2 linked regions of the Drosophila melanogaster genome follow. The gene in region 2 interacts genetically with the main gene of each other region. Each region holds a gene or a part of one and is shown on either strand. Other genes may lie near its edges.

Evidence for each region.
Region 1: of Syx7 (region 2) and Tab2, changing one suppresses a phenotype caused by changing the other (phenotypic suppression), as found in Drosophila melanogaster (one study listed by BioGRID).

The regions. Positions count from the first base shown.
Region 1 is NT_033778.4:19,289,164-19,295,558, forward strand, and holds the start of Tab2 (TAK1-associated binding protein 2), read left to right. Parts: upstream 1-3,365; 5' UTR 3,366-3,697; intron 3,698-6,395. Other genes in the region: AANATL4 (arylalkylamine N-acetyltransferase-like 4), read left to right, coding at 1-637; Fkbp12 (FK506-binding protein 12kD), read left to right, coding at 1,026-1,062, 1,223-1,293, 1,355-1,573; mip40 (Myb-interacting protein 40), read right to left, coding at 2,131-2,934.
Region 2 is NT_037436.4:21,441,606-21,450,030, forward strand, and holds Syx7 (syntaxin 7), read left to right. Parts: upstream 1-4,228; 5' UTR 4,229-4,418; intron 4,419-4,555; 5' UTR 4,556-4,649; coding exon 4,650-4,770; intron 4,771-4,837; coding exon 4,838-4,907; intron 4,908-5,257; coding exon 5,258-5,402; intron 5,403-5,475; coding exon 5,476-5,892; intron 5,893-5,950; coding exon 5,951-6,046; 3' UTR 6,047-6,523; downstream 6,524-8,425. Other genes in the region: Alp1 (alkaline phosphatase 1), read right to left, coding at 766-917, 1,027-2,131, 2,236-2,495, 3,070-3,145.

The DNA.
Region 1 (6,395 bases), on a different chromosome or scaffold from region 2:
CATGCGCCCAGAGGATTATGCACAGGTAAAAGCCTATATGGAGGCTGAGTACTACACATCGGAGCCTCTGTGCCAGTCCAGCGGCGAACCCGTTCACCAGCAGAACGAGGAGATCAACGACGCCTTCAACCAGTCGATAATCGCCGAGGGCACCAGCCTTTTGGCACTGGATGAAAACGATGGTGGCCGGATTGTGGGTCTAGTTCTGGCATGTGCCAGTTATCCCGATAATGTGAATGCAGGAACATTGAATTTGAAGCTCGAGAATGTGGAGGATAACGCTTGGGGTCGAATGTATCATTTACTAATGAAGGCCAAGCGCGAAGTCAATCTGTTTGAGCGCTACGACATCCCGAAGGCGCTCTACTCCCACGTGACCAGCGTGGCCTCGTGGAAGAGGGGCAAGGGCCTGGGCTCCCGCCTGGCCGCCACCCTGATGGAGCTGGGCCGATCGAATGGTTTCCCCCTTATGATGGCCTTCTGCACTAGCTTCTACTCCGCTCGCCAGAAGGGGGCCTTGGGCATGGAGTGCATCTATTCCATCGACTACGCCGACTATAAGGACGATGAAGGACGAGTGATCTTCACACCGGCAGCCCCACACACAAAGCTGCGAGTGATGGCAATCAAACTGTGACAGTTGATAACAAATAACTGAGTCGAGGAATTTAAATAAATTATATAACTATAGTTATGTTTATTTAATACTTAGCACACTTTTGGGGGACCTATACAAGTTGACCAATGACCAATGTGTCTCGGACTTTAAGATAAGAGGCAAGATCTTGCACTGCTTTATTCTTTCGGTTCATAGTAAACAATTCAAACGGACGCGCCAAAATACAAAAACGTCCTTATCGATAACTCGGAAAGCAATTGGTTTTGATAATTAATCAAATTGATGTGTGCGATAGTTTCCGCTCACCGACCATCGCCCACCGCTAGCTGTCATTCGGCGACGCGACGAACTGAAATCAACGTGCTTATTTTCCGCTCGGTAATTTGCCAGAAAAAAACTAATCGAAATGGGCGTACAAGTAGTTCCAATTGCTCCTGGTGATGGTGAGTATCCAATGATTGGGTTAGAATCCGCAAGAAATGCCGTAAACTACCGGCCTTTCTAACCTATTTAGTGCATTTTCGCAATGCACAATTCGGAAATACCTGCGACAATATGGTCGTCCCGCTCACACACATCCATTTTTGCATTCCCCGCCCGCAGGCAGCACCTATCCCAAGAATGGCCAAAAGGTCACGGTCCACTACACCGGCACCCTGGACGATGGCACCAAGGTGAGTACGAATCCCGATCCTCGCCATCCCCAGCTAATGATCCGCCTTGAATTCCACGCAGTTCGATTCGTCGCGCGACCGCAACAAGCCATTCAAGTTCACCATCGGCAAGGGCGAGGTCATCCGTGGCTGGGATGAGGGAGTTGCCCAGTTGAGCGTCGGCCAGCGCGCCAAGCTGATTTGCTCGCCGGACTATGCCTACGGTAGCCGTGGCCACCCCGGCGTCATTCCGCCCAACTCCACCCTCACCTTCGACGTCGAGCTGCTCAAGGTCGAATAGGCGCACAGGATGCCCAATGTGTATACCCCAAACCAAATCGCAGGGGGTTGCGGACCGGCGCACCGGCGACGAGCCGAAGAACATCATAATCGGAACCAGAACAATCCAGCAGCATTTGCCAACCCAAAATAATAATGATAACTTCATACACAGCTCTAAACTAGAACTAATTTAACCGCAAAGGGAACGCATCTTCTACCAATACAAATAAACATTTATTCAAGTCAATGACAAATGTCTTTCTTATCAAAAATCTTGGGATAATCCAATCAAATCAGCTGCGGTTGCCTTTCCGTGCTGCAATACAAATGCATTTCATATTATTTTTTAATCAGGAAAATATGCAAATATAAAAACGCTTTATCATTCTCTTGATAGACTTGAAGTGGTCTACTTGACAAATTTGATTTTATTTTATATAAGTATATAAAGTGTACAAGCATCTTATTTGCATATATATTCGATTTGGAAACAGGATTTTTTTTAATTCTTTGTGCACAATTAATCCAAATTATTTTTCATTTTCTATACCACTTCCAAAATCACCTAGATACGCTTCAGTTTTTGCAGACCAAGCTCATAATCTTGTCAATAACTTCATATCGCTCCTTTTCATACTTCTTGATATGCTTTATCCAGTGTCCGCGCACTTTCTTCCAGCGGTTCATATTGGAGGACAGAAGATCGGAGGTACTGGCACCTTGGAGAGCCTTTTCCCGCTTCTTGTCCTCCTGGCTGAACTCCAGACGAGGCGGAATTATGGGCAGATCCGTGGACTTGGCCTGCGGGAGCTGGTTGATCACCTTTATCTCGCCGCTTTTAATTTGGGACAGGATTTCTTCGCCGTTGTCCTCACGTTTGGTGGCCGTGAGTGAAGCATCTGTTTGAAATGCACCCACAGCTGGATTCTTGGGTTGATTTGCCATCCATGCGCGGCATATGGGGTACAAAGGAGTCTTATCCTGGTATTTGGACAGGTCCAAACTTCGCTCAAACAGGCGCATTACGTAGGTCTCGCCGGGCGCCTTCTGGGCGACTGCCGCTGCTCCAACGCTCTTCTTGTAGAGCACTCTCCTGGCCTTGATGCGTCCTCCGGCGCCGGCTGCGGCTGCACTCGAGGATGTCGAAGGCTTCTCGCTAGAGCCCGACGTGACCGTCTTGACTTTCGGATCTAGCTTTACCTGGTACTGACGCTGCTGTTGCTGCTGGATGAGCAGCTTCTTCGAGGGACGGCCCCGAATGGGCAAATCCGACTCTGCGTCGTCGTCCGGCGGCAGGTTTGTCGTCTCTGGTTTCTGCTCCTCACGGCGCGACTCCCGCAAGCGCAGGGCCGTTTCCTTCTTTTTCGGCACAGTCTTCATTTCCAGAAATCTTGTATTCGACACGAAAATTAAGGGAAAACAATTTCGAATGCCGAATCGGAAATCAAACGGACTTACGGCGCTTCACAACACTGAAACACCACTTCGCCACGCAACACTACATAAGTCAGTGGTATTTCAAAAAATACCATAAATTAAAGAAAACAAACGGTCTTGGCGCCTAACGCTAGCTTGAGAAATAATTCTTTGAATTATTTGTAGCTTAAATGAAAAGAAAAAAGAATAACATATATATTTTTAAACAAAAACTTAATACACATTAATATTTGACTATTCAAAAATATTTAATAGACTTTGATTGTTAAATTAATACTTTTGTAGATTAAAAAAAAAAAAACAAGGAAATGAAAGTCTTAAAAATTTGGTATTTCTCGATTTGGTAATTTTAACCCAAAACCTTTCGGGCTTTTCAACCCACCTTTTATGGTCACACTGCTGTTTTGTGATCGCGAAAAGAGCGACGTGAAAAATACATTTAATTAAGTTTACTGCGAAAAATAAAATAAATAACTAAATTAAAACAAAGCGGAGCTTTTGCGTGAACTGTGTGTGTAGTTGTGAGTGTGTGAGAAAAGAAAAACGAAAACAAAGCCAACGAGGAAATCGAAGGGGCAAAAGTGGAAAAGATTCAGATTGAAAAGCACCAAAATATCGAAATCACAATTTGAATGTCAAAGAACAAACGACAAAAAGAGCGGAGCAACAAAGGAACATTGGAAAAGTCAAGAATTTAACTTATTCGGTAAGGATGCAAATTGTAAATCTGTGGATTTTGCTTCTTCTGCTCACGCACACATCCACATACAATTGGGAAGTGCACAGGTGTGGGTGGATCTGCTCTGTGTGCAAATAACAAATTGTGAAAAACAACTCGCACACATGCAGATCACCTAGTGCACCAAATAAAAGCAATAAATAAACACATTTCCAAACGGGCAACAAGTTGTGAATGCGTTTTTTAAGGGGGAGGGGCCATACCAAGTTTCCCAACGTTTCACATTTTCAATCGATCTCGGTTGTTTTTATATATGTATGGATATTTTTTATCTACTATTGCGTAGCTGCCAATGTCACCTGTTTTTTGCTCTCTCTCTCTCTCTCTCTTGCGCTCTCTCCCTCCCTCTCGCTCGCACCCACGCTGGCTGTAGCTGGTTTTTATCTTGTGCCGTTAACACAGCCATTACGTGTCTCTTTCGCACTCGCACTGCACATTGGTGTTCGTGTGTCTGTGCAAGACTGCACGTAACTGTATTACCCATTCGTACATGCGTATACGTATTTCCGCCTATTGATAACGGCTGAAACTCCCTCGAAATGGCCGTCTTTTCGAAATATGTAAACGAATCGTTCGGGTACATCCCCCGACCACCACCCACCCACCGCCCACTCAACCCCCTCCAAGCGCTTCTAATCGCAAAGTGCAAATATTGATTTGCTATGTGTGCTTTTAGATTTTCTCCCACTATCAATAACAATAAGCGCTCTCTGTACGTTGTTTTTGCTTCGGTTTGGTTTCGTATTAAGAAAACAAGTTCACAAGTTTTTGCACTTGTTATGCACTGTAAGAAAAACGCAAGTTTTATTCAAGAGCTCCGCATTACCGCATTATATTGCCAATTGTGAAACTTTTATAATATTTATACTAGCAGCTTAGTTTTGTAACTTTCGGAAATAAAAAGTTTTGGTAAAACAAACAAGAAACATTTTATTTATTTTTTTAAGTGTTGATCATTGTTGCTGTTTCGTTTTGTGACTTTGTTTATGTGGCGGTTTTCTTGTAATTGCGGGAATTTCCCGGCATTTCAGCAGTTGAGAGTGCAAATATAAAGCAGAGAGAGAAACCCTCATCTGTTTGTGATTATCTGAATTCTTCTTCCGTATTTAAGCGTTAACTCTGCTTTTGAGCGACAAGGCTGTTAAATATTTTCAGCTATAACACCAAAATTACCCTTTATCTCGCAATATATTAATAAATACAAGTCTCCAAAAGACGTCATAAATTAAAACGCGATTTAAATGACGTTTAAAGCGACTTCTAATTTATGTATGTTTATCACGAACTAAAAATTTAATTACTTTATAAATTTTAAATTCTCAAGATAGTGAGCAACTATGTATGTTTTAAAGAAAAAATTGTTGGAGTTCCACAAAATTTCGTTTGAAAAATTGAGTTTTTATGTACCAAATATGCAAATCAAATGAAACTTAAAAGCTGACTTAGAAATCCTTTTGTTTATATGGGTGAAACTAAATAAATCCTTTTGTTTATGTAAATCACGTTCGATTGTGTGCTTATTCCACGCATTAATAACTGCCTTACTCCATGCACAGAGTACAGCTTTTTTGAATGTCATGCTGATATGACAGAGCTGAAACGCTCTTCTGACATAATAGATTAATACGTATAGACTCATTTTCATAACGTTGGTCCTTCTATTCAAATACTGTATCAGCAAAACTTAAGAATCTTACATCTAAGTGTTTAACCTACTTGAGTAACTACTGTACGGTGTATTCCTGCGATCTCAATGAAAACTTTCCCATCAATTTAAATCTATCTTATCGCCAGCAATTTTGTTGATATTTAGCTTCGGGAAGGGACGAGTTCAGGAAAATATATAGTATATGTGTGTGTACATATGTATGTCCCCTGTTGCGAAGAGACACAAATGTCGCGCGATAACGTGGGCAACCGCAGCACACCTGGTTGGATTTGGACATCGACTAAAAATAACTCCGCTTCGATTATTTTCACAAATTTGAAAAGGCAAATTGCGGCGATTGGAGGGTTCATCACAAGCCTCCAACATCGATAAATGAATACCGTGTATTAGTTATTATTTCAGAGGAGACAGGCGAGGTGTTCCACTTTGATTTTCCATAGCGATCGCTAAGTTCCATTGCCCCTCCGAGTTTGATTCCCATGCCCATATTCAATTCTAGAATTCGGCAATGACGTCAAGGCCTGACGTCTGCAGAAAATTCCGCAAAACGCCTCTTCAAATTATTGGCGAGGCAAGAAAAGCAAAAGAAAATCGGCGAGCGAGCAGCGAAATACAAAATAAAATTATTTTCGTTCCATTTTTCGTCTTTTGGTATTTTGTGTGGCTGCTTCCATTCCATTTCATGTCTCTGCATTTGATTTATAATTTTCACAATTCACATACTTTTCGTTGCTCTATCTCTTTTTTATTTAATTTCCGACTCGTTTTTTTTTTTTTTTTTTTTTTGCGACAAAGTGAAAGTTGTTTTCCATGTTATTTACTGCTGCCTCTTTCCTTCGTTTATTCCCTTCGCATTCCCTTTCCCGTTCTTTTCGTCTGTCCATATGTTTTGTGTTTCAAAACCAAGTTGAAGGTGCGGGAGGGACGCCATCTAGTACGTAGTTCCTTTCGCAATTATTTTTGTATTCAAGCATATTTTTGGCGATTTTTTGTTAT
Region 2 (8,425 bases):
TCGAACCAAGGGCTTGATCTCAACGTTGGACATTGAGGGCTTTCTTTCTTGTTTGAACAACCGACAATGCGTCCAATTTCAGCGTAGGTTTTACCTTCAGAGATCATGTTTTTAATCAAATTTCTTTTTTCGACGGTACAATGCTTTATGCGACCCATGACTTGAGAATTTTGGGCCTTCGTTTGGAAAAAATTCAATTAAAACCTTCAATTCAATTCCTTTTTATAAAATGTGTGGAAAAAAAAACCCAAAGCAATCACTTCTATTAATATTATTCAGCAAATACGTGGTCAGTGCTATGTTTGTTACCGCCTAATTTCGCGCACTTTTGCAGCAAGTGCCCAAAAACAAAAAGAACCGTTACGTTGAGAGAGTAAAAATTTATTGCTCAGAGAGACCACATATGGTACTTATTATTCATGCAATCTGACTTAAAAAAAAAACATTTAATAATTTTTTTTTAGGAAATCAACTTTCCACCTGCAGTAGTGCTATTATTTTAACCGCAGCTCTATATCGGTTAAGTTTTCATTATTTGGGGGTCTATCAATTGACATCAGGGAGATGATTTTGTAATGTAATTTGTCTGTTTTTTAATTAATAATTTTGGGAAGTGCTGTTGCTTCTTTGCTTATTCTCTTTATTCAGGAACTATATAAGCTAAAAAGTTAAGATTAAATATGGCGATTCTAGAATCTCCGCAATTTGTTTTAAGAATAGATCATTTTATTCAATTTCTAAACATATTTATTCCTAGGGGATTTTCTAGGGAGAGTATCTTGCTTTTGGCTGCAGATCGCAATATGTAATTCCAGGTCCTAAGCAAGAGGCGAAGCCCATCAAATGAGGCAAGGTGCTTTGTTCGTAAACTCCAGTGAAAAGATGAGACCATGGACCTTGAAGAAGATATTCCACAACTTTATACATTTCAAGAGTTTTGATTAAATGCTTGGATTTAAGATTATATATATCATTCAAAACCCATCTAAAAAAAAAAACTTAAAAACCAAAAAAACATGAACTCACCATGAGCATAGACGGCCACATCGCCACCGCCGTGTGTCTCCTCGGTCATGGGCACTCCATGTGGATAGATGGCATCCGGTTTGGAAAAGTCCAGGTTACGGAGATCAACGCGCTCCACCACTCCGTCCGTCGATTTGTAGAATCTCTCGTAGGCCGGGCCGTTGGCATATGAGATGGACGTGTAGGGCAGCTGGTCCACATTACTTAGCTCGGAATTGAGTCCTACTATGCTGTTGTTAACATCCGGATAGCCGCTGATCGTGACCGTGTGTCCGTGATCCGCACTCACCACAATTAAGGTGTCCCAGGGATTGGTGAGTTGTCGTGCCTTTCTCACTGCGTCCGAAAACTGAACGGTTTCATCCAAGGCCTTCTTGGCCTTGGTCTCATGATGGGCGTGATCGATTCGACCGCCTTCCACGAAAAGGAAATACCCGTTTGGATCTCGGGAAAGCACATTTATGGCCGCTGCCGTCATCTCGGGTAGCGTGGGTGTGTCTATGCTGTCGTCCATGTGGTACGCCAAGTGAGAGGCATTGAAGAGCCCCAGCAGGAAGTCAGTGTTCTGCGCATCATTGTTCAGGAGATCCGTACGACTAAACACCACCCTAGCATTACCCGGCTTTGTTTGTTGCCATTCCTCAATGAGGTTCCTATTATCCAACCGCTGGCCCTTGTTTCCGAACACATCGTTCGTGGTATTGGGCAAGAATTTAATGGTTCCACCGCCCATGACCACACGCAGTCGCTTGCCCACATCTCCGTCTATCAATTGCTGGGCGATATCCGGACAGTTTCCTGGATTTTGACCCAATTTGGTCACGTCGTAGTCGCTCTCGAAATCGCGATTCGAAGTGTGCGCATAAACTCCGGCCGGACTGGCGTGGGTAACCCGAGTGGTGGTCACCAATCCAGCGGATTTGCTACCTTTAAGCGCCCAGGCGGCAATCGAGGAGAGCCTATTCTGCGGCAAGCGCGATCCCCTGCAGTCGTTCAACTCCACATCGGCTGTCACTCCGATGGTCAGATAGTTCGCCTTGATCCCCGACAGATAGGCCGATGCTGTGCAGGCGGAGTCAGCCACTTGCTTATTGACGCAATAAGTCTACAATGACAGAAGGGCGTAATTACTGTCTAGTTATTAACGGACTTAATAAATTTATTAGCAGTTTATTGAGATAACAAATGACTTCGTTGACTTCTAAGTACCTTGGACAGACCGACATAGTTGAATTTCTCGAACTCCAGACGATTCCGTTCGCCCACCACTCCACGCAGCTGTCCATCGAAGATCCTGCCTGCGGTTACCGTGGGAACGGACATACCGTCGCCCAGGAAAAATATGACATTCTTGGCACGATATTGGTTTGGTGGAGTGGATAGCTTATTGTAGAGCGTGCGCTGGGCGTCGTGAAACCAGAACTCCTTGCTCTTCAACTCGGAAATAGAGTCGAGGTCCCAGGATTGCTCTGAAAGTAATGCGATTTTAGCTTATTTCATTATAAATTAAGAATGCATATTATTCTGATTAATTGAAACCATTTTTTGTTACTAGCCGATATGCATACACATTTCAAGTACAACCTCAAGAATTTATCAATTCCAAGCACATGTTTCGTTTTACAAAACAAAAGCACAGACACAATTGCCATTGTTTTCCACTCCACTTTCGAATTAATCATTAAAAAGGGAAATTGCTTTCAGAAGATAGCACATAAATAAAACACCGAAAGAAACCTATGGAAATTAAGCATTAAAATTAATTCAAATTTAAATTTTAAAGTATTAGTCTTATATCCACTTTCGTTAAAACATTCTCCTTCGGAAAAAGTGATGTTTGACAGCTCTGTTAGCGGGTGTCAAATATTTAATTCAATTTACGAGTATTTTGCTGACGCCTTTTATACTCCGTTTAGCACTTGATTAATCAATTCTGCATATGTTTTGAGTTTGCTTTCGACCTGGCACACTCTCACTCGTTTTTCATTTATTCATTTCGGGTCTTTTGGGCCCGTTTCTGATCTCGGTCTTGACGTTACGCACCTGGCCCATATTTGTACTGGCTGCTACAGGCCGTGAGTTGGAGGGCAAGAGCCGCAAAGAACCGGAGAGCACGCATCGCACGGAATTTTGATGAACTAACTTTCGACTGGTCGGGGCGTTACGAAGTCTACGGATCGACTAAGCCGCATTTCGCAGTTGGAGGCTTATTTATACGAGCCCGGTAAGACAGGGACCGAAAATGCGAGTCGAATTATAAAAAAACACTGAGACAATAAATTAAAACCCGTCCCTGTATTATAAAGCTTCTAAATACACCTACCAACCGGAATTTCGGGATGAAAGAAAGGCATTTATGCCCTTATTCAAATTATGCAGCCAGCACAGCTTAGATTAAAATGATGTTCTCCAAAAATCAGGTTCGTTGCATTGGTCATTTGCATAATATCTTGCATCGCAGTAGGAGATGATGTAATTAGTGGATGCATCGAAGCAGCCTAATTCATTCTGCGATCTAAAGTTCATTAACCGTGCCAAACACCGGATACTGATAAATATCTCCAATACACTAATTTGTAACGTTAATTTGAATTAAGTTGCTTTTGATTTTTTTTATAAACGAGTTGCACTTATTTTGTCTACCAGTTATTTGACTTTTTTAAGAAAAGTAATAATCTTCAATTTTATTTCTGCTAAACAGGTTTCAAATACCCTGAGTTGTACAATGTTAAATTTTAAGTTTTGAATAACATTCTGGGTAAGCAAAATAGTTTTGTATACCTACATTATTATTAAATTTGGTATGAACATATTTATTGAACGGAAGGAAAACTGTCTAAAATTCGACTTATTTGTTTTATAAGGCATCATTGTTGGTCATTTTCATTTCTATACGACATTTTCCTAATCTAACATTTTAATTTTGGAGAAAAAGTGCAAAATAATAATTTATAATTTTGAATAATAACATTAAGCAGTTCATTTTAGACATGGATCGATTTTCAATAATAAATCTCAGGACTTATATACATTTTCGAGACAAAATATAGGGGGAAGAATATAATTAAAATGCAGTTCTATATATCTGCTATTTGAATGCCGCGCCAGATATCGATATAATTGAAGTGCTGTAAAGCGTAGCAAGGAAGTGATGCTAAACGCATCACGCGCTAAGGCACTTTTGGGTATTAGTCGAAAGTGACTTTCTCACAAGTTGGCAGTTCCATTCCAATTGTTGTAAAAACCTAGCTAAAATTTCAGTTTTGCGAACATTCCGCCTACTTAAATCAACAAATTTCAGATTGCGAAACGCGTAAAAAGTGCGAAGGAAATGCTCTAAGATCAAGGTCACCGGCGAAGGTCACCAACGACAGCTAGGGCAACCACAAAAGGTGTGTGGCTGTGCAGCAAACAAAGGGAATGCGAATTGCAAACATTCCGACAAACAGACAAACTAACAAACAAGCACGAATATAGAATATAGAATCAAGAACCTGGCTGAGACGCATAAAAGCGAATGTGATATAAGTGGGCCACGGGGCTAATTCGATTGTCTGTCTCTCCAGGAACAACTTGTCTCCAGCGATAACTCGAAGGTCATCAAAGTGTCTGCCTACGAAAGCATGGACTTACAGCATATGGAGAATGGTCTAAGCGGCGGGGGAGGAGGTGGCCTAAGCGAAATAGATTTCCAAAGGCTGGCCCAGATTATAGCCACCAGCATCCAGAAGGTGCAGCAGAATGGTGAGTGGCGTCGAAGCACTTGCCAACTTTCGCCTATGACTAATCTAGGTTTCTGTCTCTTTCGCAGTGTCCACGATGCAGCGCATGGTCAATCAACTGAACACGCCCCAAGATTCTCCGGAGCTCAAGAAGCAGCTGTAAGATGATTATCATTACGATCTCTTCGTTTGGAATTTAAACTGTCCCCATAGATAGAACCCATTGCAGATATACATCGATTATTCGAATATCTCTCAGACAAATCATAAATTCTAAAGACATAGTGAAGATCTCTATTGGGTGTTTACTCACAATGTCTAAAAATCTTCTTAAGCCAATACAGCCTTTTAATACATTTTGCGCACATCAACCGACCACATAAACCAACAGCAAAATAACATTGTAGTCAGTCATTGGTTTTGAAAGTTTAAACGTATCAGCACAGTGTGATTCACAAATCAAATCAATGTATAACGCACGATAAAAATAACAATCCCTTACTCCACAGCCACCAAATAATGACCTACACCAACCAGCTGGTGACCGACACAAACAATCAAATCAACGAGGTGGACAAGTGCAAGGAGCGCCACCTGAAGATCCAGCGGGATAGGCTCGTGGACGAGTTCACGGCGGCACTGACCGCCTTCCAGGTTTGTTTTTGTTCTCCCAGATAAGCAAATGGTTTTGTGAGTCATGCTGATTGTTTATCATTGGTATTTTTAGTCTGTTCAGCGCAAGACGGCGGACATAGAGAAGACGGCGTTGCGGCAGGCGCGCGGAGATAGCTACAACATCGCCCGTCCACCCGGCTCATCGCGTACCGGCAGCTCCAACAGTAGCGCCAGCCAGCAGGACAACAACTCCTTCTTCGAGGACAACTTCTTCAATCGCAAATCAAACCAGCAACAGATGCAGACTCAGATGGAGGAGCAGGCGGACCTGCAGGCCCTCGAGGAACAGGAGCAGGTCATACGGGAGTTGGAGAACAACATCGTGGGCGTGAACGAGATATACAAGAAGCTTGGCGCCCTGGTCTACGAGCAGGGACTGACGGTGGACTCCATCGAGTCGCAGGTGGAACAGACTAGCATTTTTGTCTCGCAGGGCACGGAAAATCTGCGCAAGGCGAGCTCTTACAGGGTAAGTGCCGCCCCTACAAGGTTATTATTTTAAATAATTTAAATATGTTGTTTATTAGAACAAAGTGCGCAAGAAGAAGCTTATTTTGGTGGGCATCCTGAGCGCCGTGCTGCTGGCCATCATCTTGATACTCGTTTTTCAGTTCAAGAATTAGAGCCTTCCGGCATCTCCGAATGATTCAAACCAAACTAGTAAATTGTTGTGAAAAGACAAGAGTTGCCGCATGCAGGCCCCTAAACCCCGTAATTCCCCACCCAATCCTTTGGACCTTAGGCGAGATTATGGCTTTAATCCTTAATCCAACTTCCAATACTGGCTGAAATCGAAAACTGCGACTCGTAGACGAAGATATAGTGTTTTGAGGAGTATTCACCGGCACGTGCATCTGTTATATTTGCTTTAAAAACAATTTTATATTTTATGTGTACTACTTTTATTATTACGCACCCTGTATATTGATTATTAGTATTGATTAACAACTGTTGGCTTCAAATTCTAATTATGTTCCGAAACTCATTCGCCAGCGCTTTGTATTGTATTGTATTGTATTTAGAGTTAAGAGGCAGAGGAAGCCATATATGCGATGGCATACACACATGTACGAAAAATGAAATAATAAACATGAAAATCGATCCTGCGTGCGTTGAAAACACTTGGAGCACTTCATTTAGGGCCCGACCTGAATGAATCAATGAATGGAACTCGCCAGCTCTTCTGGGCATTCGGAGAAGTGCATGGTCATCGACTCCTCCTTGGCTTAGCGATCATTAAGATTTCGTGTTGGCCATTGTTACGCATGCTTTAGCGGCTTAGGAGCTCCCATCTCCCGACTCCCAACCCGATCTCGATCCCAAAACATTGGTACCAATCCGACTATGTGTTCAGCGAGCGCACACTCTCCGATGGCACATTAATGCCGCGACAGACCTGGATGCGGTGGACCCACTTCAGCTTGCTGCATCGTTGAGGTGTGTCAGCCGGGGCTAAAGGGTTTCCTCGTCGCCGGACCCCATCTTCCTCCACATTTGAAATTCCAGCTCCGCAGGCCTGCATACAAATTGAGTTTAAATTTTTTGCCAATTCACTGACATTGATAGTTCGTTTGGGCATCATTTGTGTGGTGGCTTCTTATCCACTTGTTGGCATCGAGTGGTTTTCTCGCATGCATTTAAGTGCAGCTCATTTCCTTCTCGAACTCGCCCCGGGGCTCGCCAACAATCATTTCCCGCCAAGTCATCCAGTTTTTTCTGGCCCAAGTCGTTTCGGATCTCTGCCCTGTGGTTCGCGGGGTATATTGAATCATTCAGGAGAGTGGATTAGGTATTTCAAATGGGGAAAAGTGTGTTATTTTCAAACTAAAAGGTGAGTAATTACTATTATAATTGTGGTAATGATATATAATTTATAATGTTATTTATTAAATCGCTGTAATATTTTCATGTTAATAATTGGCCTAATCTGATTCTTAGATATATTTGCTGGTAAATTTAATTCTTTTACCTAAAATCGTAACTATTATTGAGTTTAATTTTCAAAATATTTCTGAGTTCGCAGAGTATCTGAAAATGCCCCTGAGGGAATTCTTACCCATTTTCTGGTTGTTTCTTTTGGTCCGCTTGGCTGTCAGTGGTTGTCCAAATACGTCACCGAGCTGCCCGACCAAGTCGACTGGGAATTATTGATTACTCGTCCGTGGGGCCAAGGGTTAGGCCCCGATTGTTGCACGGGCATCACGGCCTAATCACATCGATTATGACTACATGCGGCACTTGGCAGGTTGGGCAGTGGACAAACCGGGACCAAATCCCGACCCGGGGCCATGGGTCACGTTGTGAGCTCGAGTGGCGGAGGTGTTGGAAATTAAGAGAAACTATGCACACCTACATGGCCCACGGAAACACAGCAGGTAGTCAGTCGTCCGGCTGTCTTGGCCAAAAGGCTGCTGTTTGCATAGGCCGTAGTCGCTAAACCTGGAACCATGACAATATTGACATCTTCGGTGGTCGACGGACATAGCCACCGAATCTCATTTGCAAAGTCATTTTGTCCAAATAAATCCAGCCTCCGTCTTTGGTGATTTTCCCAGCATAATAATGTGCGACCGAACACAAGCCGCATGTTTTGACTTTGGATGGCAGTGGAACGTAGAATGGCCAGTGGAAATTCCGGAACTTGGTAAGCGCTGGATTGACTTACCAACTTGCTAGCCAGGATTTTGAAATTTCTGGTCCTGGGAAAATTGCAGTTTAGAGGGGAAAACTGTGAAATGGCAATCGCGCATCTTCCGGCTCCTAAACCCCGATAATCCCTGCACATTTCGCACGTTGCTTTGCAATCAGTTCCCTTCTACGTACATATAACTCTGATGATTGTAGCAATGATGAGGTTGTTGTGCGTGGTGGATAAACATCCGGTTTATGGCATTTCCCAAATCAATAAACTTATTATTATCCCATTTCCAACTCTACCAACGCTACCGCGCCTCCCATTTTATTTGGAAAAATTCTTAATTACGCGTTCTTATGAATGGAAG